Rhinolophus ferrumequinum: one gene and its partners. The protein of the gene in region 1 purifies or fractionates together with the protein of each later gene. This does not show direct contact. Links are inferred from orthologs where the notes say so. Each region holds a gene or a part of one and is shown in the gene's direction. Other genes may lie near its edges.

Region 1 (8,167 bases):
CAGGAAATCCCTGCTCTCTCCACCTAGGTCAGTGTCCATCTGGCTCAGCTTTTTGTGCTTGTCAGATGCAGCCAGACAGTTGGGAAACAAAGCATGTGTCCATGGCAACCCGCCTCTGCCTTCAAACTTCAGCATTTCAGTGGTTTTTGTGGCCCCTTCTTCAGGCCCAGCGCTGGGATGGGATAGATGGTGAGGGTGAGTAATGAAGCTTCAGCATATGTGTGTTGCACCCCACCCCCAACACCCCGGCACGCTCAAATACCTCCACACACACCACTTCCTAGGGGAAATCCTCTGATGTTCAGATGGGGAAACTGGTGCCCAGATAGTGCAAGTGTCTTGCCCAAGGACACCCAGCAAGTTAATGGCAGGACTGCGAAGAGAACCAGGTCAGGCTAACTTTTGACAAGCCATTAAGCCGAGTTGGCTGCAGAACTCATTTCTGCACAGACCTCAAAATAAAGCTTCTCCTGATATATATCCACCAAATTGTAAAGACTCTTACCATTTGCCCCTGCTTGTCAATGGGGCACAGTATTTTCTAATTATCGTGTAAAACTGCCAAGGAAGTAAATTGAATGTTGGCTCTTAGTTAAAACCATAACCATCACCTATAACTCAGGGTTTCAAATTTGGAGTCCTTCAAAATGTCATCATTGTTCTCGCTGATTTACTTTGTGGTGAGTAAAGTTTACGTTTTGAGTTATAAAATAAATTTGTACTTATAAAAACATTGCTTTTATCTATTTTACCTCTCAGATAAAATTTGGGTAGGTTTTGTTTGAGGGGAAAAACCAAAAGTTCCAATGCTAAAAGGAAAACTTTGAAAACCACTTGTCAACACTGGGCACAGCTAGGAAAGTGACACTCTGATCACAGAATAGTTGGTCAATCTGGAAGCCTGGGGCACAGAACTGGTCTCAGGAGATAATTGCTGAAAGAAGGAAGGGACTCAGAAGTCATTCCACATTGGAGACGGGGCAGTGGCAACAGCTACTTTTCCTTTCTCTCTGTCTCTGCCTGCTCTCACCTCTTCCTCCTCCTCTCTCTCATCCCTTCCCTTCCTCAGCCTCCTAAGAGCTGGCACCAATTCAGAACCGGGAGCCCTCGAGACTCCAAAGATTCCAGGCACACACCACTAACACCTTGGGTTATCTCACCTCTCAACCCAGCAGGGAAAATGGGCGGAATTAGGTTTGGGACCTGATTCTAAGAGCTGCTGGGAGGATCAAAGAAGACCTCGGCAGGGAGGTTGTTTGATGTGTTAACATGCTGCCACAGATGCCAGGAGCCACACTGTAGTGGGCACAGGAATGCACACTGGGAATGGGACCTGTGGGGTTCTCCCCTCACCCCCACCCCCAGGCTGGGGAGGAGCCAAGAGGGAGGGCATCCGATGCAAGGAGCCCCTTTCTATGTTCTCCTCCCACTAAAAAGAATCAAAGGGTGGATTCTTAGATGTCATTCTTAAACAGGAACCCCTTTGAGAATCTGGTTAAAGCTGCAGACCCTTTCCCCAGATCAACACATGCAAGGGGTTTCAAAGTTAAGCAGAATATTTCTGGAGGTGTCTGGAGGCCTAACTGTGGCCCCAGGATAAATACTCCCTTTTTCTAGGGTCTTAACTGCCAACTCTTGAAAGTAGCTTGGGTGGAGTGGGGGAGGGTGCCTGGCACAACGCAGGTGCTCAATTAGGACACACACACACACACACACACACACACACACACACACACACAAACACACAAGAACACAAATCTGTTTTACATTTCACCTCTGCCCAGAGGTAACTGTGTGACTGTTGGCAACTCACTCCACCTCTCCTTAGCCTTTTTTGTCCATGGAATAGGAATATATTAATCTTTCAACATCTTCAACTTTGCAAAACTGCCCTGCCCTCTACTAAAATTCCAACTCCCTCCAATCGATCTAATAAACACTGAGGGAAGCCACAGGTGCTCCCACTCCTGGCTGTGTGCTATGCAGGCTCTTTCCCTTCCTGGTGTCCCTGTAAAATGAGGGAGGTTCAGCCACACCTTGGCCTAGCTGCCCAGGCTGGAGTCTGTGCGGAGGAGGCCAGGCCCAGCAGAGGACAAAGCTGCTTGGAGCCTGTGGGAGGCAGGTCTCCCAAGGTGGAGGTAGGGTTGGGGGGTTGAATGGGTGTGAGAGCAACATGGGGTGGTCCTGGGCTTTCCAAAGACAGAAAGGGCAAACTAGAGGGTCCGGAGGCTGCTGTCCCAAGCCTGGTTGTTGCTGGTTCTTCCCTGGGGACAGGCTGGCACTTCCTGCCTAGTCAGGTGACAGCCTGGCTCCAGGATGGACTTTGGGCCATGCTGACAGGGTCTGCTGGGAAGTTAGTTTCCTTAGCTGCCCATAGAGCCTGCAAAGAACTATAGCTAAGCTGAGCAATCGTAAATCCAGAGAGCAGGGTTGCAGACTAGCCCTTCCTAGGCTAGTCCTCTTTGGGTGTCTTAGAAGCATGTCCACCCACTAGGCTAGGGGACAAGAGGGAAAGCTTGGCCTGAGGGTGGTCCAGGTTGGAGACGGGAGGTGAAAACATCTGGGTGTTGGAGTTAGGAACAATGAAGGGAATAGAACCCTGACCTCTTCCCACTCTTTACCTTCCTCTCCTCTCCTCCAAATCATGGGACCCAATCTGTGGGTTGACCCCTAGGGATTCTGGTTTGAGGGGAGCCTTTGCTGAAGAATTATGTGAGCCATTGGCAGGGCCAACTTCATGGGGGTAGTCACACAATGTCCTGCTCTCAGAAGGGCCCGGTGCTTGGTTGAATGCTCTGCTGTTTTCCTCTTGACATTTTTAATACCTTTTGAACAAAAGGCCCTCCATTTTCATTTTGCACTGGGCCTTGCAAACTATGTAGCTGTCCTGGCCAATGGGAAGAAGGGGGTAATGAAAGAGTTGGTGGGGGGCAAGACTGACTAGTATTCCTCTCCTGACCACTCCTTCCAAAAGCCAGAGTATGTTTGCCTTCCTCTCTCCTCCCTACCCAATGCAACCAGACTATCCAGCAGTCCAAGGCCCTGGGCACTGCTTTCTCTCCAAGTCTCAGCCCTGCCTGTGACACTTTTCCTTTGACACTCACTAACTGAGGGAGCAGCAGTGCCCTTAAGGATATAGTGCTGGGCTGGGCAGGGAGCACCCTGAGGACAGGGTCCAGTGTGATCCCTGAGCATGACAGTGCTTGATCCAGAATGGGTGCTTTAGGATTGTGGGCCAGACCTGAATAAATGGCAGTTAGATGGGAAACTGAGGCCCAGCAAGGACAGCGATCTGCCCTAGGCCTCCCTGGTGGGAAGCATGTCAGTGATGGCCCAGGTTTGCCACAGCTCAGCCCCTGGGAACACTCAGGGGCTAAGGCTGGTTAGGGAGGTCATACTCTGCACTCTAATCATCCTACAATATCTACACTATGCTGGGGTTGACTAGTCTGAGTGCCCCAGACAAATGGGTTTGTGCCTTCGTGGAGACCAGGACCAGGGGGGAGCTATGTGACCAGGGTCAGGTTGGGTGACAAAGACAAATTCTAACTGGTGGGGTGATCACAGTGCCTCTCTGGGGACCCAGGACGAGAGTCTGCTGAACCCAAGCTGGCCCCTAGGGCAATTTCTAGCCTCTGGGGACCCGGCGAAGACAAGACTGAGATTGCTGGTCTTGGCTCCTCTGCTGCTGACCAGCAATCACTGTCCCCCTCCTCGCCTCAGTTTTCCTCCTGTACTGTGGAGGTAATACTCTCTTCCCTGCTTCCCTTCCTCGCTTGTTATGGGATCAGATGATATAAAAGTGCTTGGTCAGCTATAATAAAGAGCAAGAAGCATGGAGGAAATGAGCACAGGATTTTCACGATTCCTGAAGGCTTTCTTCTCTACTAGCTTCCCCAGTCGCTTCTCATATACAGAGGCTATCAAAGCACCTTATGAGACAGGAGTTTAGCAAGCCCCAGTTCAGCCCTGATCAGTATTGATCATCTCTGGGAAATCTAGACCCAGGCAGGGTGCCTTGGGACCTCACAGCCTAGCCCAAGGATAAACTGAGGCAGGGCTCTCCTCATCCTAGTCACCAAAAGGTGAAACGGGAACCCAGGAGGCCTGGGTCCCAGGTTCCAACTTAGGATTGTTGGAAGCTGGGGGAAGGTGTGGTGAGGGAGGGCAAAGCAGCGAAGAAGGGGCGACTTCCCAATCGCCAGATGGGAGAGGAAAGCCCACTGTCCGTCACAGGTCTTAGGCGTGGCTAAAGCCTGTCATTAGAGCAAAACCTCCAGTACTCCCCGGGTCCTGGAAAGAATTTTCAGAATCCCTTATTCCAGGTAAAGAATTCCAGAATCCTCCATCTCTTCTCAGACCAAACTCAGGATACCAAGCTCTCTTATGGTCCTGCCCTAGCATTTCTCTTCTCCTTCCCTGAGCGCCCTCCTCCTCCAACCACTGCCAGTGCCTCCCTCTAGCGAACCGAACACCCTTTAGTGGCCCCGCCGGGACAGAACCTCAGTACCGGCCCCCTCGGACCCGCCCCGCGACCCCGCCCTCTCGGTCCCGGGCAATCCAAGCCGCCGCGGGGGGCTCTGGGGTCTCTCGGCACCGGACCTCGCCCTCCCCCAGCCCCGAAGCGCCCAGGCCGTGGCGGCGGGCCCCGGGGTGGCGGGGAGGGGCAGCAGGCATCGCCGCTCCCGCCCCGCGGCCGCTCCCTCCTCGGGCTCCTTCCCTCCGGGCGGCCCCCGCGCCCCGCCCGCCGCCGGTCGGCCCCTCCCGCCGCCCGCTCGCTCCTCGCTCGCTCGTTCGGCCTCCGCCGCCCAAACTTTTCTCCGGCCGCGTCTCCCGCGGTGGCCGCCCGCCCGCTCAGCGCATGGGCGCCCCGTAGCAAGGGGCCTGACACCGCCGCCAGGTCCGCCCGCCGCGCCATGGCGGCCCGCGAGCCCCCCGCCGCACCTGCGGCGGACGAGCCGGGGGGCCCCGGGGGTCCCCCGCGCAGGAAGAAGTCCCGCTCCGGCGCGTCCGGCTTCCGTCGCGCTTTCAACTGGCTGCGGGGCAAGCGGCGCAAGAAGAAGGCAGCGGGGGCGGAAGGCGCCGAATCGGCCGCCCCCCGGGCCAAGAAGGCGGATGACAAGGCCAGGAAAACCAAGAGCAAAGGCCGAGGTAAGGCGCCCGGCACCTGGGCTGCGCGCTGGGCGGCGCCAGGGTGCGGCCAGGGTGGCTCCGCTGGGGGTCCGCGGCTGTTGGAGGGGGGTGAGTCCCCCTAGGCGCTAGTGCCGGGGCAGCGAAGAACCCAGGGCTCAGCCCGAGCTACCCCAGTCTGCGCCGCCCCCCAGCATTTCCTAGACTCATCCCTGCCCCGTTCTAGGGGAGGAGACCCCCGGCTCCGGCAGGGATCCCCTGGCTTATGCAGGAAGTACTGGTAGTCTGGCTCTTGGGACGGTGAGGCAATCTCCCATCCCCCAGGCTCACCCAGGTTTTGCCCTCTGCTGAGTCAGGGGGTCAGAGATTGATTCTGGCCTGGGACCAAAGGGAGAGGCAAGTGGCCTTGCGTCTCTGGTGGGGGTCCCTCTGGGTTTAGAAGGTCAACTGCACTCAAAAAGGAGTTCCAGTAGGCTAGGTGGCCCCGGGTTTCCAGCCCCACAAAGAACCCAGCATGGAGCAGAGCATGCTTTAGGTTCTCAACAGTGTTAGCTTTTCCCACCTGGCCCCCCTCACCACTCACCTGGGCCAAACCGCAAACATCCACCTTCTGGGGCGGTGAGCTCACGGAGGTGAACCAACTGCTCTGCTCCTCCCCTTCACTCCACCCCCCAGTCCTGTTAGAAACATGCCAGTGTTGTATGTGTGCTTACAGATGGGGGAAACTGAGGCCCAAGTTAACGGAGAGGCTGGACCTGGGCTGGGTATTTAAAATACTACAGCTAATTCCCTACCTCTGGGCTTTCTTTGGCCTGATGGATGGGCAGCCTGAGGTGAGGCTGACTTGGCCCATACGTGCTGGGGTCACTTTTCTTTTGGCCACTTGCTTGGTTCTTCTCTCATTTCCCCCTCTGTTTCTGTCTCCTGTTTGAGGGTGGAGGGCATGAGTTTCTGCAAGAGGGTGGGGCTCCCTTGGGGCTTGCCATGCTCCGAAGTCTACCTTTACTATGTTTCTGCTGCCCATCTGGAGGTGAGGAAATGGCAGTCTGTGTGGCCCATCCCATTCTGCCAGAGTTTACCCTCCCAGTGTCCTTTAACCACCTCCTCTGGAGGAGAATTAAAGGAACACTTTAGGTATCAGGAAGACGGTGAAAAGCCTGTGTGATTGCATCCGGCCTGATCTTCCTTTTGGATAAGGGCCCTGCTCCCCTGTGGCAAAGCCACAAATAGAAGTCAGGGTTCTGGGGCTGGGATGGCTGGGCTAAGCCCTGAGGGAGAGTTTGGATGAGGGGTGTTTCCAAAGGCTCTGCAGTCCCACAGGACCTGGGGTCTGACCCACTACTGCCTCACTGGGATTCATTGTAAAGTCGTCCCTATCTCACTCAAGAGGGCCTGGGTCAGAGTTGCAGTAGGAGGAATTGTGGTCATACTGTCAAGATTGGAGATAGGAGGCAGTGGTATACCCCAGGGCAGTGGACCCTTTCCTCCTGGGAGACCAGTCTAGAGGCAGTGGTTGGAAAAGCTGACCTGTAGGTCCCTGCTCCAACCGCCTGGGTTAGAGGTCATTGGGTCAGGCCTCCCCCTGCTTTGTGTTTTGGTATCAGGTAGCACTGGGCTTTTCTGGGCAGCAGGTTGCACTGATTTGAGCCTACGCAGGAAACACCTTCCTTGCCCCTGGCTGTTGTTTCCACAGGTCTAGGGGTGGCCCCAGGTACGCCTGGAGGAAGTCCTGCTCCCTTTTGCTCCAACCTCCTATTATTCCAATTGTTTCTTTGTCACCTGCCTGGCTCTACTTCTTTTCTGTTTATTAAGAGGAATAAATCTGATCTCTCTAATCTCCACTGGCACTGCTGGTCAGGAAGGGGAAGCCCAAAGAGGGCTTAACTCTTTCTGGGGAAAATGTTCAAATGAAGATTGGGGGAGATGGGGAGGAGGGATACACAGAAAGTTCCTGGGATGTCAAGGGCCTTTGCTGGGCCATTATCTCCCCCATCCCAATCTCTGAACCAAAGACCCAGAGATGTAGGTCATGGCTCCCCTAATCTGAGTCCCCTACTATAAGATGGGAAAGCTGAGTTTGGAATAGAATTTTGAACACCTGTTTTCCGGGACCCCCCTGCTCCTGTCACTGTCCTGCACAGACTTAGAAGGAAAAGAGAAGAAATCTGACATTTATTGATTGTTCTGAATATGCCAGGAGCTCTGTATCCATTATCTCATTTGAGCCCATTTGCAGATGAAAAAATGGAGGCTCGGGGACAGTGAGTGATTAATTTGCCCCAAATGGGATTTGAACGCAAATCATCTGCCTCCCAAACTGGTACAGTTGTTATGACTCTCCCAAGGACACAGACCAGTGGGTAAGGCTTAAAGAGCTCATCCAACCCATTCTACAGATGGGAAAAGGTCCAGAAAGAAGTGAGGGAACTTGATAGAGTGGGAAGAGGTTCAGAGTCAAGCAAATAAGTGTTCAACTCCTGTCTCAGCTGCGAGCAAACCATGACATTGAGCAAACAATTTCCCTGTGGCCTCACTGATTCCATTACTGTCTCAGGAAAGAGAGGGGACCTTCTCACGGGAGAGATCCTCTGGCTGGACATGGCCTTGATGGGTCTGTGACCTTTCTGTCTCTCCAAGATTCTCACAAGAGAAGATGTGAAAATTATATGAAAGTGAAGTCACCATAGAAATGCAAGGGATTGCTATTACTGTGTTTATACATTTAATCACCTGTGTTCTAAGGACCCAGACTGGAAAGAATGGACTCTGGGGCTGACTGAACAACTCTGCTGCCCTGGTTTGCCCTTCTCAGGCCACAAGACCCTGGCAGGTTATTAACCCCTCCAAGTCTCAGTTTCCTTATCTGTAAAATAGGGATAATAAATCCTGGCTTTACAGCGGTGTTTCAAGGATCAAATTTGATAACAGACATGCAAGTGCTTTGTGGAGCACGGTCCAGACAGTAGCAGGTTTCTGTAGTTGTGATGCTGAGGACTTGGGCAATAGCTAGGTTCACCCTGATCCATGTTTGGAAAAC
Region 2 (8,084 bases), on another chromosome or scaffold:
AACTACATAACTGTTCTGCAAAGTGGCCTTACCATTCTGCATTCTTATCATTAGTGTATGAGAGTTGCAGTTGCTCCACATTCTTGACAACACTAATATTAGCAATCTTTTAAATTTTAGTGGTCCTAATGGTTGTGTAGTAGTATCTTATTGTGGTTTACATTTTTATTTACTTAGTGACTAATGGCATTGAGCACCCTTTTGTATGTTTGTCATTGTGTATCTTCTTTGGCAAAGCATCTGTTCAAATCTTTGATCTTTTTTAAAAAATTCAGTTTGTTTGTCATCCTATTATTGAATTGTAAGAGTTCTTTATATATTATGAGTACATATATTATGAATACAACTCCTTTACTAGATATTTGTTTTGTAAATATTTTTCTTCTAATCTATGGTTTGCCTTTTCATTTTTTAATGATGTCTTTGAGGAACGGATGTTTTAAATTTTGATGAAATCCAATTTATCATCTTTTTATTTCATATTTCATGTTTTAATGTACTTTTTAGTTTTTGCTTAACCCAAGTGCACTAAGATTTTCTGTTAAGTTCTATTATAGAAATTTTATAGTTTTATCTCGTTCATTTAGGTCTATGACCCATTTCAATTAGGCAAGGCCTTTTGGATCTCAAATTAAAATATCTTCTAGAAAATAGTTTGAAACCCACATCACTGCACAAATAAAGAACATGAACTGATGCACACAATTTGTTTCTACCCCCTTCCTCCCAACTGAAGGAGATACAGATAGAATTCATATTTATTATTCATCCTAGTAACTCCTGGACATCTGAAAATTGTTTAGTTTTCATTATTGTAATTGTATTATGTCCTTGTTTTCATCTCTAATATTGGTTACTTGTGCTTTTGTTAATTTTATTGTTCAAATATTTTATATCAACTTTTTGCTTGCTTCTTTGGTCTCTGGTGGACATATGTTAAAATTTTCCATGTATAAAAAATACAAATAAAGATAATAAAAAAATCTTCCATTTATGATCGTTGATATGTCAGTTTTTTCTTGTAAAGGTTTTGCTTTATATATTGATTGGCTGTGATGTTGGCTCATAAGAAGTTATGCTTACATCTTCTTGATGAGTTGGTCTTTTTATTATTATCTAATGTCCTCTTTATGCTTTGTAATGTTTTTTGGCCTTGATGTGATTATCTTGACATTATTATTGCTATAATAGTGTTGACCATAAACAAAAGACAGCCAGATATTTCTCCAGCAAAATGAGTTTATTTGGGAACAACAAAGAATTGCAATTTGGTACATGTGGTGTGATGGTGAACCACATGCAAGTCCAGAGAAACAAAGGAGAGAAAACTCTTTTATAGAGAAGAGGAAGTTGGGAAAACGATTATAAACAGAATTCTTCCTGTTCTGCTCCGCAATCCACTTAGGATGTGGCCTCCCAACTTCATTTTAAATTAGGTTTCTGTTCATTCATTTTTACAAGTTTCCTTTAGGTTAATATTTGCATGGTAAATATGTTGTTGTCCCTTTATTTTGATTAGGCTTTGAAATGACATTTAGCTGGGTTTAAATTCTAGGTTTAGTCATTTTCCTTCAGCGGTCTCAGGATATAACTTCCTCATGTTTTGTATCTATTATTGTTGAATAAGAGCTTACTAATTGCAATTCTTTTGTAGAAAAATCTGTTCTCTCTGGTAGTTTTTAAGATTTTTTATTCTATCCTTGACATTCTAATAACCAGTTATTTTATTAATTCAATTACGACTTACTTTTGATGTTTAAACTTTGCATTTAGATGTTTTTGTCTTTTACACTAAAGATTCACTGAGTCACATCAATTTCATTTCAGGATTTTATAGACTTTGTTCTACTGTTTTTTTGACATCTATTGCAAAAGAAAAGGTCACCTTGATACTTTTTCTGTTGACGGTAACCTGTTTTTTTCTACAGAAGATTCCTTTATTCTTTTATCTTTAAAGTTCAATAAATTTGCCAAGAATTTTTCTTGGCAAATTTTGTAAGTTTTGTTGTTGATTTTGTCTGTTGATTTTCCCTTTTTGTAGATGAGATTTTAAAAAAATACTATTTTTTCTTTCTTCATTTTTAAACTGAGGTATAACATACAGTAAATTATGTAAAAACGCACTGCTTTTAAGTGTACGGTTTGATGATTTTTTTTTATTTACATATGTACCCTTATAACCACTAATCAGATAAAGACATAGAATATTCTTAGTGCCCCAGATTTCCTTATATTGCTTCCCAATTTATCCTTTACAATGGTTGATTACTATTCTTAATTTTTGTCATCATTGATTACTTTAACCTTTTTTTGAACTTCATAGACATGAAATCATATGGTATGTACTCTTTTTATGTCTGCCTAATTTCACTTAATAAAGCAACTTTCATCCATGAAAGTGCATCTAGCAATGGATTCATCTATGTTGTTGCATGTATCAGTAGTTTGTTCCTTTTACTGCTGCATAGTATTCTATAATATGAATATACCACTATTTATTTATTTTTTCTTTTGTTGATAGGTCTTTGGGTTGTTTCCATTTTTTGGCTCCTATGAATAAAGATGCTATGAACATTCTTGTACATATCCTTTCATGCACATATTACTTATTTTTCTTGAATAAATACATAGGAGTGAATTGCTGGGCCTTAAGGAGGTGGATATTCAGTTTTAATAGGTAGTGCCAAAGCAAATAGTCACTTCCAAAGTGATTGTACCCTTTTATACTTGTATACATATACATAACAACATATATATTTTTATGTATATTTTATGACACACACATATATATATTGGGTTGGTGCAAAAGTAATTGCTGTTTAAAAAGTTAAAAATAAATGCAAAAACTGCAATTACTTTTGCACCAACCTAATATATATCCGTGTGTGTATGTTTATGTGGGTGCTAGATGTAATACATTCTTACCAACACTAGGTATCGCTGGTATTTTTTGGGGAGGTGGGTGGGTGGGTATCTGGCTTTTTTCATTTAGCAAAATGCATTTGAGATTCATTCATGACTTTGTATGAATATATAATTTATTATATTTAATTGCTGAAGAGTACTCGATTGTTTGGATGTACCAGTTTGTTTATCCAGTAACTGGCTGACGGACATTTGAGTTGTTCCCAGCTTTTAGTGATTATGAACAAATTTACTGTAAACATTCACATCATGATATTTCTGTGAACGTAAGTTTTCATTTATCTTAGATAATACCTAGCAGTAGGATTGCTAGATTATAAATTAAGTATGCTTGGCTTTATAAGAAACTACTAAACTCTTTTCCAGAGTGGCTATAGCAGTTTGTAGCCAGTAATGTTTGAGAGTCCAGTTACTCCACATTTCACTAGCACTTGCAATTGTCAGTGTCGTGCGGGGCGTCAGGCGGGGTTTCTGGTCCCACTCCCCACATAAGAACGCAGGACATGGTGAAGCCAAAAAGGAACACCCACGGAGCCATAGGTAGGGGAGTCACATCTCTATACTCTTGCTGGCGGCTGGGTTGGAGACACAGGAAACAGGAGCCACACAATTCTCAACCCTCACTGCGCCGCTTGCAGACTCAGCCACCATCTTCTTGCTAGCTCCCCCTTTTTTCTTTTTGCTACTAGCCTAGCCACGGCAGTTATATTCATGGCTAATGGCTCACTGGTTACAGCTGACAGCCAACTAGCCACAGCTGCTGGCCATTTGATCACAGTTGATGGCCATTTACTACCTGAGCCAGCACCTTTCTATGTGAGGCTGAGAGCCTGGAAACTGCTTTTTGGGGCTCTGTCCCCACAGTCAGGTTTTTAAAATTTTAGCCCTTGTAATGGGTGTGTAGTGTAATCTTTTAAATTTTATACTACATCCTGGTAGAGTGTGGCGATTATGGTTTTATTTTGTACTTCCTTGATGACTAATGGGTTGAGATCCTTTTCATATATTTATTGGCCTTTTGTGAAGTGCAGTTGTCTTTTTGTCCAATTTTTTTTATGGGATTGTCTCTTTATTGACTTGGAGTTTTTTTTATTATTTTATTTTGGATATGAGTCCTTTGTCAAATGTATATGTTGTACCTTTCTTTTCCCTTTTTTAATAGTCTTTTAATGAGTGTTTTAATGATGGCTATAGTAGACTGACTAATGGCCCCACAAAAATGTCCATGTCACAATCTCTATACACTGTGAGTATATTACCTTACGTGGCAAAAGGGACTTTGCAGATGTATAATAATCCAGTTAAGGATCTTGAGATGGGAAATTATCCCGGATTATCCAGGTGAAATCTATGTAGGCACAGGGGTCTTATAAGAGGGAGGGATGATGGGTCAGAGTCAGAGAGAGATTTGAATGTACTCTGCTGCTGACTTGAAGATGGAAGAAGTGGCCATGAACTAAGGAATGCATATGGTCTCTAGAAACTGAAAAAAATCAAGGAACGATTCTCTACAGTCTCTAGAAGGAACAAAGCCCTATTGACACCTTAATTTTAGACAACTGACTTCTGATGTCCAGATATGTAAGATAATAAATTAGTTTTGTTTTATTACTAAATTTGTTATAGCAGCGATAAGAAAAATGTCTTCATTTTATTAAAAAACAACTTACCAATTTTATTAGTACTTAACTGTATCCTAGTTAAGAAATTTTTGCCTAACCCAAGCTTGTGAAATTACTGTTTTCTTGCAGAAACTTTATTATTTTACCTTTTATATTTGGACCTATGATATATCCTGAACAAATTTTGGAGCATGGTGTGAGATAGATTCAATGTTCAAAGTTCTGCCAAGTTTCACAGGCTTCTCCGGAAAACAGTTTCATTCCGGGGAATCACACTCTGGCGCCATCTCCCGGGGATGTCAGGAAACTCCGGATTTAAACCACCACCAAAGGTCGACGTTCTTAAATTACACTCCCTGGGGTTTTTTTTCCGAGGTTCCCTGGACGCATGCGTTTTTGATGGGAAGCCTGGCCTGTGAAAAACTACAATTCCCAGAAGGCCATGCCAAAAGGGGGCGGAAATCTTGTGGTGGGGGAGGGGGAGGGAAAAGCATGAAGACTCGCGAGAGAAGGAGGTTGAGGCAGCAGTGCGAAGTGGGTGGAGGTGGGTGGAGAGAGTGAGGAGGAAGAAGGGGAGGTGCTGTCCCACAATACCAGGCGGGAGGGCGGGTAGGCGGTTTGTATCCGGGCTGTGAGGTGCTCGGAACCTCCGCGGACCTTGCTGTTTCTGTCTCTTTAACGCGAGAGGAAGCGATGCGGAGGGGTGGAAAATGGCAGAGCTGCAAATGTTACTAGAGGAGGAGATCCCGTCTGGCAAGAGGGCGCTGATAGAGAGTTACCAGAACCTGACCCGGGTGGCGGACTACTGTGAAAACAACTACATACAGGTGAGGAAGCGCGGGCGCGCGGGCGGGCGCTGCCTGGCCGGGCCGAGGACCCGCCGCCGGCCGCCCGAGTGACCAGCCTACTGGGCGGGGTGGGGAACAGCCCTAACCTCCGCGGCCGCCTCAAGCCCCAGCCCCAATCCCCAGCTGGGGACAGAGCAAGTGGCCGGGCTCCGGGAGTCGGGCTGCGATACAGGAAGTGGCTGTGGTGGTTGAAACCGATAGAAGGGGAGAGAGAAAATGGGCGAGGGAGCAGGGAACCCGCCGCGGCCCGGAGCCCCCCTACCGTCCGCCTCCCTGCGGGCTCAGCTCCCCGAGTCGCGCTGCCCCCTCGCAGCCTGCCGGTCGCGAGGTTTCTGCCTGAGACCCAGCTGCCACCCGGCCGCCTCTCCGCCAGGCGAGGGGTCTACGACCGAGACAGAGGGGAGAGGAAAGGGCAGGGACGAGGCACAGGGAGGAGCAGCAGAAGCGAGAGGAAAAGCGGGGTGTGTGTATCGGGGGAGGGTAGGGTGGGGGAGATTATGTCAGTTCAATCCAGAGGGTGTGTCTTTTATTTATTTATTTAAAAAAATTTGTCATGAGTCACATTACACAGACCTCCCCGAGGAGAGGAGGAAGCGGGTGGGGAGTGAGGGAAGACGTCTAAGAGAAGTTAATCTCAAAATTCCTTTGATTGAAGGTTTGTAAATTTGCCTGCCTGTCCGTTTTCAAGTCGGGTTTCTTCCCTCTCATCATTTTCACTTCCACCTCACCATAACGTATGTCTAGAGGAGGTTCCAGCTGTCGTTATTATAAAACACAAATTAATCTTAACTACTTGGAAAAATGTCTTAAATACTGTCGTCCCCAAAAGTTTTTGAACTGTTGGTTTCATAAAGTAACTTAAAATAGAATGGTGTAATCGCCCGATGCTTATTTTTTGAAGGTTTCTCTTACCAATATAAGTGAATGTATAGATTCTAAATCCAAATCGGTTACAGAACATACTTAGTTTTAGAACCATAACGTAAAATATTACTGTAAATTTATTAGAAAATTCTTGGGGCCTTAACTATGACAGATGCTTGTTTGTTTTTATTTTAATGATTGAAAGTGAATTATGGTGTGATAGTTTGGTTTGTAGGTCTTTAACTGCATAAACCAACAGTTTACAATAGAACCAAATAAAGTACCAGAATCCTTTCTATCAATATAAGGGCACCAACAATTCACTATTTAGTGGCAAAACATGGCCAAAACGTGCTTTGAAAGGTTAGGGTTATTGCAATTCAGAACTAAAGTATTTATAGAAATTCCTCCCATGTGATTGTCATTTTAAAGAACCAATAGTTTCTGTGTTGGCAAATGCTTTTCCTCCTTATTTTTAGAAGGAGATACTGTTTTCAGAATATTCTGAATATTTCTCAGTTTCCATATTAGTAACATTATATCTTCAGTAGCACTAGTAGGAATTTATCTCAAACTTTTTCAAGCTTTTACTTTAGGAATTCTGATAAACTTGTTGAATGCCTGCCACGTCTACTAAATTTCTTGTTTTTGCAAACGTTATATTTAGCCTTTAAGAAATAGTCTAAAACCAAGTAGAAATGTGGATATAGTTTTCAATTAGAAAAGTTACCTTGTAGTTTATTGATATTAATACATACAGCTTTTATTCAATTTAACATAAATATTAAAATTGAGGTGAATCTCAATTTACTGAAGATTTTAAGGACTTTGAAAGTCAAAGGGAGAGCACAGGAAGTTAAATTGCACCTATTCCAGAAGTCATTTCTTTGTAGAAGTCAGCAGATAGTACTTCACAAAGGGTGGCTTCTTTTTGTTTTGCATGTTGGGAAATCTGACAAATACATGATGTGGTAACTGCTAAGTGTTGGCAAATGCAAACGTGTTTTAACCTGTCTGGTGACTGTTTTTCAGGTAATTGTCTGCTGTTGTAAGGCTTTTTTTTTTTTTTTCCTCCCTGACCCCTTTCCTTTTCACCTCCTGCCACCATCATGTAACTTGGAAGCATTTTTAAACTTCTTGGTAATATCCCTAGTTAAGATAAGTCATTTTATTCTCATGTAGTCTCTTACTTTTAAACACGTTAGTACAGTGGTGCAAAGAACCACTATCAGTGGCCCAAGATTTTTTTTTTTTTTTGGTGGTCCTAAATTGACACAAGTGCGGTATTCTGATCTTACTGGGGAAAAAGATGTTTATCTTAGTAGCCTTTAAACTTTGGGGGGCATGATGCAGGCCATTAGCTAGCTGCCTTCCTGAGGCTCAGACAAGGTCAGGCTCAGACAGGCTTAGAAGATGCTGAAGACTTTGTAGGAGAAGTGGTAGCTGACTTTGTGATGTGCTGTGCTGCTAACTTTGGTGCTGTGAATAGGGAACAAAAGTACTAGTCGTACCCATTTGGGTGTCTTTTGAGATCTTTCTGTATCCTTTCTGTGATCCTGATTGGGTTATAATGAACAGCCTACGTAAATGTACCTCCTCTCAGGGAAAGTATGTGGTGACTTGCGTTTTGAGATTTTTTTTTTTTACCCAAGATGAGTTAAGTTACTGCCTGGGTGATTTTTATCCTGAGAATTCAGTTTTAATTTTGTTGTTTTCCTACATTTTGGAAGTATAGTCCAATTAGGTTAAGGTGTTTAGTTGACAGGTTCTTTTGGCTCTAGTGCAATTTGGGTCTTGTTGACTTTTAAGTGTTGTATTGTAATAA
Region 3 (8,117 bases), on another chromosome or scaffold:
AAAGTAACTAGGTCTCAGTCTCTGGCTACTGCTAACATAACAGAACCAGTTGAACAACCCTCCAGAAAAGAAAGGGTTATTAATTTTACCTTTAATTAGAAAAACTTGGACAACACCACAATCTCGTTTTAATACCCATGAGGAGTTCAATAACAATTAGGCACGCAATTGAAATTACCGCAAAATTACAAAGTTTTAATTATCCATATAAATTAAAGTGCAGTAAGTGAAGAGCACCATATGGGTCAAATAAGTTTTAAAAGTTTATCTTCTGTTGATTCAAAGAAATTTGAGAACAAAACTAAATATTTACTTTCTAGTCCTTTTCACATTTCTTACTGTTGTACAAATAAGTAAACAGATGTGAAAGCACCTTATAAACTATAAAGCAGAACACAAATATTAATCATTATTATAAACTAGTTATCATTTACGGTACATTTTAATGGGTTGTGGAAGGAAGGAAGGAAAGAAGGAAGAGAGGAAGGGAGGGACAGAAGAGGGAAAGAGGATGGAGGGAAGAAGGGAGGAAAAAGAGATGTGACAGACTATATGTGGCCAGCACAGCTTAAAATATTTACTATCTGGTCTGTACCGAAGTTTGCCAATCCCTACCCTAGTATATGGTCAGTTAAAAAAAAAAATGTTTTATTAGTGCTTGAAAAAAATATTATGCATTGAGTATTATCTTTTTTATACCCTTTAGTTTGCTAATTTTGTTGTTTAGATTTTCTGTGTCAGTATTGGTATGTTTTGCTTTTTTAAAAATCAATTATTGAGAGATATACATTAAAATCTCCCACTGTGATTGTAGATTTGTCAACTTCTCCTTGTAGTTCTATCAATTTTTGCTTAAATATTTTGAACTTACATTAGGTTCATACGAATTTAAAATTGCTATATACCTCTTTGTGAATTAAACCTTGTATTTGAGGAAATGATTAAAAACATTGCACGAGCTGCCAAAATTCTTGTTATTAGTCACAATACAATTAGTCAAATACAGATGAATGTATCTGCATGCTTTACACACCTCCCTTAGTCACTTTTCTATCATTACATTTACTATGTGTAAGTTTTTTTTTGCATATAAGGAGGAATTGGTTCACAAACTAGCAATGATCAATGTCCGTTACTCTATTATCATAGAGCCTAGATCACTGAGAGGGTCTAGCCCCAGCTCTGCTTCCAATGGACCTCTGGGACCTAAGGTAACCTCTCCTAGATTTTCTTGAAGTGATTGAACTAAGTGAGTTCTAGAGACGTCCCCTCACCCCTACCCAATCAATATACATCAATTCTCACTGTACATGCTTTTCTGAAGATCATCTTTTTTACCTACTCTTTCACTCATTTTCTCACCAAATATATTTCCCTTAATCTTCTGTAATAGGCATTGGAGACATGAAAGAGAGCAGATGCAACAATCTCTGGTTCCCAGGGCCTCACAACAGTCCAGGGAAAAGAAAAAGGTTAACAAATTACAGCAATGTGGTAAGTGCTATAATTGAGGTATAAAAAGGTGCTAAGGTAAACAGAGGAGGAAACGTGCATGAGACTGAAGAACAGCAGAGTTTGGTTGGGGAGGCGGAGAAGGAAGGCACGAAGCAAGCAATTTCCAGGCAGAGAGATAAGTTTGGGCAAAATCTTAAGAAAAAAGAAAATAAGGCTTTTCAGCCTTTGCAGAGATTTCAGCGTGGGAGAACGGCAAGCATCATATGTTACACAAGGAACTGAGAAATTACCCAAAAGGCAACATGGTGTCTTTGGGCAGGGAAGTGATATGATAATATTGGATTTTAGAAAGATCACTCTGAGTGCACTGTGAAGGAAAGAGTGGGCTATGGAACTGGGGGACAAGAGCAGGTAGAAAGACTAGTTAGAAGGTTATCATCATCGTCCCGAAGAGAAATGATAAGAATCTGAACTAAAAGGTGACAGCAGAAGAGCAAAGAGATTTGATTAACATCATGGCACCATAATGGGCAGGACCCACTACCCAAAAGTAGCGGTGTTGAGAGAAAGTAAAGTCAAGAATGACTCCTGGGAGAAGTAAGGAAGATATGAAGCCTGTGTCAGTGAAAATGAAGAGGAAGGAATTGATTTGAGAGAAATGAATGAAGCAGAAATGTTAGAACCAGATGAATGACTAGCTTCAGGGGCTGAGGAAGAAGAAAGAGAAAAGGAAGACCCCTCTATTCTTGGCTTAGACTAATGGATGGGATCATTAATCAAAATGGGAAAAACAGGTGAAGTAGATTTTGAGAAAAAGAAAATGCATTAATTTTTCAGCACATTGGAATGGAGGTGCCTGAGAGCCATTCTGAGAGAGAAATTTAATCGTTTGTGCAGCTAGCAAGGAGTTTACAATTGGAAATAATGACAGTAATACTTTACATGCTTTATGACGTCTTATGACTCCAAGAGTGTTCCCAAGAAAACTAGGTTGCTTTGAGTTAAGGAAAACACGTAGTGAAGCGGGAGAGCTCCAAAAAGCTGAGCTGTGAAAGGAATGAAGACTCCGGACGTTGCTGAAGGGGTTTAAGTTTGGGGGAGTTTGTTTTGTTATAAAAATAGGAGGATTCTAAGCATTCTTACCAGCTGTCCATTAGTAAAAACGTGAAATTTACAAGTAGCTCATTAAACAGGGGTAAAAGACTTAAGTTATTAACACTAGACTTGGGAACATCTTAAATACACAGGAATTTTTGCACACTGCCTCCACTCACTACATCTTGAGCTTCTGATCACCCCCATTAGGTTCTACGGGGCCTACACTATCAGTTGGTGGGTGCTCTCCTTAGGCTCTAGACACTAATCTTTCCTCAGTTCTTCAAACACAGGCAACTGCTATCTGAAGGGTTGCTGTCTCCTTTGTTTGGAAACTCATGCCTTCGTTTGCACACGGCTGGCTTCTCGCTTTTTCAAAGCTGCTTTTTCAGAGAGGACTTCCCTGACCAACTTATCGAAGTCATACTCCCACCTTATTCTCTATCACAGTACTCTATTTGTTTCCTTCACAGTACTCAATCCAATTTGTAACCACTTTATTTGCTCACATTTCACTGGCTGCCTCTTCCACTAGAATGTATGTATCATGATGGCAAAGATGTCTGGCTTGTTGGTTTCTATGTCTTCAGACCTTAGAACAGTTCCTGGTAAATAACATGTGTTCAAAGAAATATTTGTTAAATCAACTATATAACCCAATTTCTCCCTCTATCACCTTTCTCAGTTGGGATCATGCAGCATGCTGGTTCTTAAATCCAAGGGCTTTTCTCACTGTGGACATACCAGGGGTGCCAAAAAAATGTATACAAGTGGACACTTTGGTCAACGTTGCTCAAGCAGTACCTAGCTAGTAATCAGAAGCGTCTGGATGCTGATGGTAACCACTCTGAGCACCTGTTGTAATTGCAAAAGTCAAACGTGACTTGTATTCATCTTTTGTTATTGGTATGTATTATTACAGTTTTAACAGTTTTTTCCTTTCTTAAAGTGTGTATACATTTTTTTAGTACCCTTGGTATATAATCAAAAGAGCTAACATGCATTGCACTTTTAGTAGATACCAGGCTCTATGCTATAAGCTTTATTTGCATTTCACTTCATTTTCACAATAATCCTCTTATATAGATAGGTGCTTTTAAAAAATCTCCATTGTACAGGTGAGGAAACAGAGGAGGTTGTATAACTTGGCCAAGTTCACATAAGTGGTGGAGCTGGGATCAAGATCTAGTTCTGACTTCAAAAACAAAACAAAGCCCAGCCACCACTCACTTCAAGTGAGGGCGCATACTCTAGTTTGGGAAATCCTGAGTTAGCTTTTCTTATGTTGTGAGAGTACACACGCTCTATCCAGGCCACATCCTAATCCACAAATTCAAATTTCACTCCCTATTCCCACTTGGTTTCTGATGGCGGGAGCGGGGAGCAGTGGAGGGCTGTCCTGAACTTCCAGCCCCCGGCTTCTCCCAAGGAAGATGCATGTGGGAAGAAGAGATCCAAGAGTTAGTGACGTATCTCTCAGCACTGAGGAAGAGATAACCAGGAGCCTAAAAGTGACTGTCAGATTTTGGAGCAGAAGCCAATTCCCGAACCGCATCAGAGGCAACAGCGCTTACCTTAACTGCCACCTCCGGAGCCGAGTCCACCGCCACTGCCAGAGACGGTTTGGCGGAAGGCGATTTAGTCAAGTGCATGAGGGAGTCGGCCGCTGGCAGCGGACACCGTCCGCTCTCACTGTCCGAGTCCGATTCGGACCCTGAACCCGAACCATAGGAAGCAGCCAGAGCCGCAATCGCAGCCGACATGACGGCAACAGAACTTCGGCGGAGACCAGGCCCCGGCGGAAGAAGAAGCGGCTCCCAGGTCCTGACAGATTGCCATGGCACACATTATTTACTTCCTTTGCTACGATAATTTATGACATTTTAAATAAATTAATAATGTTATAATAAGTACAACATAACTGAGAATTTGGAAGCATTTCTCTAAGGACATAGAGAGAATTATAATAGTTTATAACTTTCAGGACCTTCTGACTAAATTAAAGACTACGAGTTCCTATGTACCTTGCGGCCTCGAGGTCCTACACTCCCGGCGAGCAGCGCGACGGAAAGTGGGAGAGGCACAATGGGAAATGTAGTTTGGAGCAAGGGGGCGGGGCGGGGCGGGCAGGCATCTCTTTGACCCCGCCCCTGAATTGATGGTTCATTCAATTGGCTACCATCTTCCCTCATTCCCTGGCTTAGCACAGTTCTCTCTGTCCCCCTCCCCCAAACTGAGGATTGGGCTATACCATAAAACCTCAGGAAAGGGGGGAAGATTGATATTCATACCCGCTGATGAGTAAGTGGACGGAGGCTGAGTTTTCCACCACCGCTGAACCGAGGCACTGGGGGCTGAAGAGGATAGCGAGAATCTTAAGTGGGAAGACCCTGACTGGGGGGGTTATAGCTCCTGGTGGGAAGGATGGGAGGTTAGTTGGCGAGTCTAGCGGTCCCCCCTGCTTCAGGCGTGGGTCCCCGCGCCCAGTTGTGGAGAGGAGCGCGCGGGGAGGGGGCGGGTGGGGGGCGGCGGCGGCGGCTCGCGGTGTTGTTCGCTCGCGCGTCGAGCATACTGTGGGTCCGGCGACCGGCGGGCGCCGCAGGCGGCGTTCCCCGTGGCCCCATCCCTCGGCCACTGCTCGGAGCGGGTTCCACCCGGGAGCTTACTCTGTTGGAGGCTCTAGGTGGAGTCCCGGGAGCTGAGGGGGACCGGCGGCTGCCGCCGAAGCATGAAAAAGGGATAAGGCAAGAGCCCCCCAAGGTTTCACGGTGAGCGCGAATCTCTCAGGAATTGTTTTTTGGGGGGAGAGGGTGCTGGGGAGGAACTCTTTCTCACTGGCCAGAATGGAGAGTGGTGGTGTGGTGCTCTAGCCCGGCAAAGGTTACGGGGATGGGCGCGCCTCCCCCGCGATGGCCCCCACCCCCATTCGCGGGTTCCAGAGCTCCCGCCGCCCACCCGCCCGCCGGGCTGCGTGCCGAGGGCGACAGCGGCCGGCGGGCGCGCAGGGGTCTCGGTTGCAGGGACCGCCTGAGGCTGCTCTAGGTGGGGAGACTGCAGGGCTCACCTGCGGTGCCACCGCCTGAGCGCCCGTGCCCTGCACCCATGGTGCACCCCCGTGTCTTCTCGCTCCCGGGGAGGCTGCAGCACGGGGTGGCGGAGAAGCCCCTTCTCGCGCTACGTGCCGGGCTCTGTAAAGCAAGCTTATGCGTTTGCGTGTTTGCGCCGCGCTTCTGTGCCTAAACACATAACGGTAAAGCGAGTACCGGGAACCCTTTCTTCGCCTGAAGAGAAAGCGAAGCGGGGCGGTCGCCTCTGATGCCTGTTAATGGGGGGGTGCCTCGGGCAGAGTTAGGGAGCCGCTCCCTGGGCTTCAGTGTCGGTCGGACTCGCCCATTGTGCCACCCAGATAATTATTCAACTATGCAGCATCCACTGCACCTTTCCCATTTTTCTTTTCCCCTGGCTACAGCATGCCCCCTAGCTTCGGTACTCTGACGCCTTCTCTTGCACTTGCGGATGAGGAACTGGAGTAGTGATGAGAAGAAAGCACCCTGACCTGAACATTCACAACCTGCTCTATAGCCGATTAATTAATCCCCAGCTAGACTAGGTACATTAAAACGACTTGGTCTAATGCTGTCCTTTTCTGAATAAGGCGTGTCTTCGATTATATTTTAAGTTTTTTCTTGGGTGTTGGATTCACGTATTAGCTAAGTCTTATTTCTGTCCAGTAATTTATGTAGTTGATTTATTGGTTATTCAACCCGTCTAATGTTCTTAAATTTAATTTGTATGGTAGGTAACTTTCATTTTTCTAACGTTGATAGCGTTATATCATAATTACAAATGCAGTTTCAGTCTTTGAACTCTCAGGAACAGCTTTTCTCATGCTCTAAGTTTGTTAGGAAAAGTATTTTTATTTAGGTCGACTATTTGAATAAAGTACATGATATAAAAATTTTCAAGTTTTGAATAAGAAAAGTTTTGTGTTGATTTTCAGTAACAATATTTGATTGCTAATCATAGCCTTCAGTTGAATGAAAGGAAGCATTTAATATTTAAGATGGGGTTTAACTACTATAATGTGCATTCGCTAATTTATCTAAATTTTATTTTTTATTCAGTTTTCTTTGCAATATCATGTATTTAATTATTTGTTACAGATTTTATTTTTATCATTTTTCTAACTTCTGTCTACAGGATGGGTATTTTTGCATGATCCAAATGAAAGATGAAATATTTTTTGAAAATGGAAGAAACAACTGTTGGTTACTTGCTCTTATGTTAAAAACTTTACATCTCATTATTTTAAAATAAATGATTCACTACCAAATATAAGTGTTTTCTTTTTGTTTTTGTAATTCTCCCTTTCCAGCTCTTCTTGCTTAAGCTTGTTGCCATAACCCTCTTGATAAAACCGAATTGCACATAGGCATTGCAGAGGCAGTTGTTTTAAGGTACAGTAATTGTTTTATGGCACTTGGAAGTGGCGCACATACAGTATAATTTGATGGTGTAAGATCAGTTGCTTGCTTAGAAAATGACCTTGCAATTTACAAAATGGACACCTTTGTGCCTTGGTTTCCTTATATGTAAGTGGAGATAAAAAATACCCATTTATTCGATAAGTAGCATGTGTAAATTCAGTAAAGATGTTTGCATAATGCTTTTAAAGAAAATTGGAATGTTTTAGCTGATGAATGATGACAAATATTTCGGTGTAAAACAAAATGAAAAAATGTCATTGGGATTTTCCGTGACATGTTAGAATGGCTGATTTATCAACATTGGATTTTGCTTTGGAAAGGTATGGCCTTAAATTGAAGATTGTTTCCCATCCATTAAGGGTTTTTAATAATTGCAAATTCAGTAGGTTTTATAGTTAATATGTACTTACAAATGTACGTGTAGTTAACGTTGATGAAAAAAGTTATATGACGTAATAAGCAAGTAGAATATTGAATTAAGTTTGCGAAAAATAAAATCTCCAGAAAATATTAAGGCCTTTTTCACTGAAAAACTTGTAGCTGACACAACCCAAAATACATAGTTGTGCTCATTTGTAGGTATGACATGGTACTACTTTATTTTTCAGGTTTGTAAATAACCATATATTCAGAGACAATGTCTGAATATTGTGTAATACTATACTTATACATTTTGCTTTATTTTCATAATACTCAGGTCTATCATTTCCAAGTACTGATTTTCATTATCACAGCTTTTGATTTCTTTATTGAAGGATTAACTCAGTTAATTTTCATAGCAAAAACTTAAAATATTAATATTAGAACTTTTACCAAAAACAGTGCTTTTGGTTACTTTGTGGGGACAGTTCATATAGATAAACTATTCAAAATCTTTAAAATTACTATTGGATGGTTCCTTTTGAGAATTAATTTGGTTACATTTTAAATGTTTTCTTAAATGACCAACCAAAATTGAACTGTCATTGTTACTTGGGTAAATACAGTTAACTCAAGATTTTTCTAAGCTATTTAGGGACAGAGACTGACTTAATGTTTACTGTCATAAATCTAAGGATGTTAGCATAGTGTTTAGCAAAT

What was found.
Region 2: the proteins of KIAA1522 (region 1) and ABI1 purify together in Homo sapiens (affinity purification with mass spectrometry; 3 studies listed by BioGRID and IntAct, with this or other methods). This does not show direct contact. The link is inferred for Rhinolophus ferrumequinum from reciprocal best matches to the Homo sapiens genes NHSL3 and ABI1.
Region 3: the proteins of KIAA1522 (region 1) and WASF1 purify together in Homo sapiens (affinity purification with mass spectrometry; 3 studies listed by BioGRID and IntAct, with this or other methods). This does not show direct contact. The link is inferred for Rhinolophus ferrumequinum from reciprocal best matches to the Homo sapiens genes NHSL3 and WASF1.

The regions. Positions count from the first base shown.
Region 1 is NC_046292.1:22,406,816-22,414,982, forward strand, and holds the start of KIAA1522 (uncharacterized protein KIAA1522 homolog), read left to right. Parts: upstream 1-4,782; 5' UTR 4,783-4,916; coding exon 4,917-5,151; intron 5,152-8,167. UniProt on the Homo sapiens protein: Able to directly activate the TNF-NFkappaB signaling pathway.
Region 2 is NW_022680355.1:11,066,754-11,074,837, reverse strand, and holds the start of ABI1 (abl interactor 1), read left to right. Parts: upstream 1-5,044; 5' UTR 5,045-5,257; coding exon 5,258-5,374; intron 5,375-8,084. UniProt on the Homo sapiens protein: May act in negative regulation of cell growth and transformation by interacting with nonreceptor tyrosine kinases ABL1 and/or ABL2. May play a role in regulation of EGF-induced Erk pathway activation. Involved in cytoskeletal reorganization and EGFR signaling.
Region 3 is NC_046286.1:62,590,983-62,599,099, reverse strand, and holds the start of WASF1 (actin-binding protein WASF1), read left to right. Parts: upstream 1-4,832; 5' UTR 4,833-4,851; exon of another isoform or gene 4,852-5,318; intron 5,319-6,019; exon of another isoform or gene 6,020-6,160; intron 6,161-8,117. Other genes in the region: CDC40 (pre-mRNA-processing factor 17), read right to left, coding at 4,125-4,313.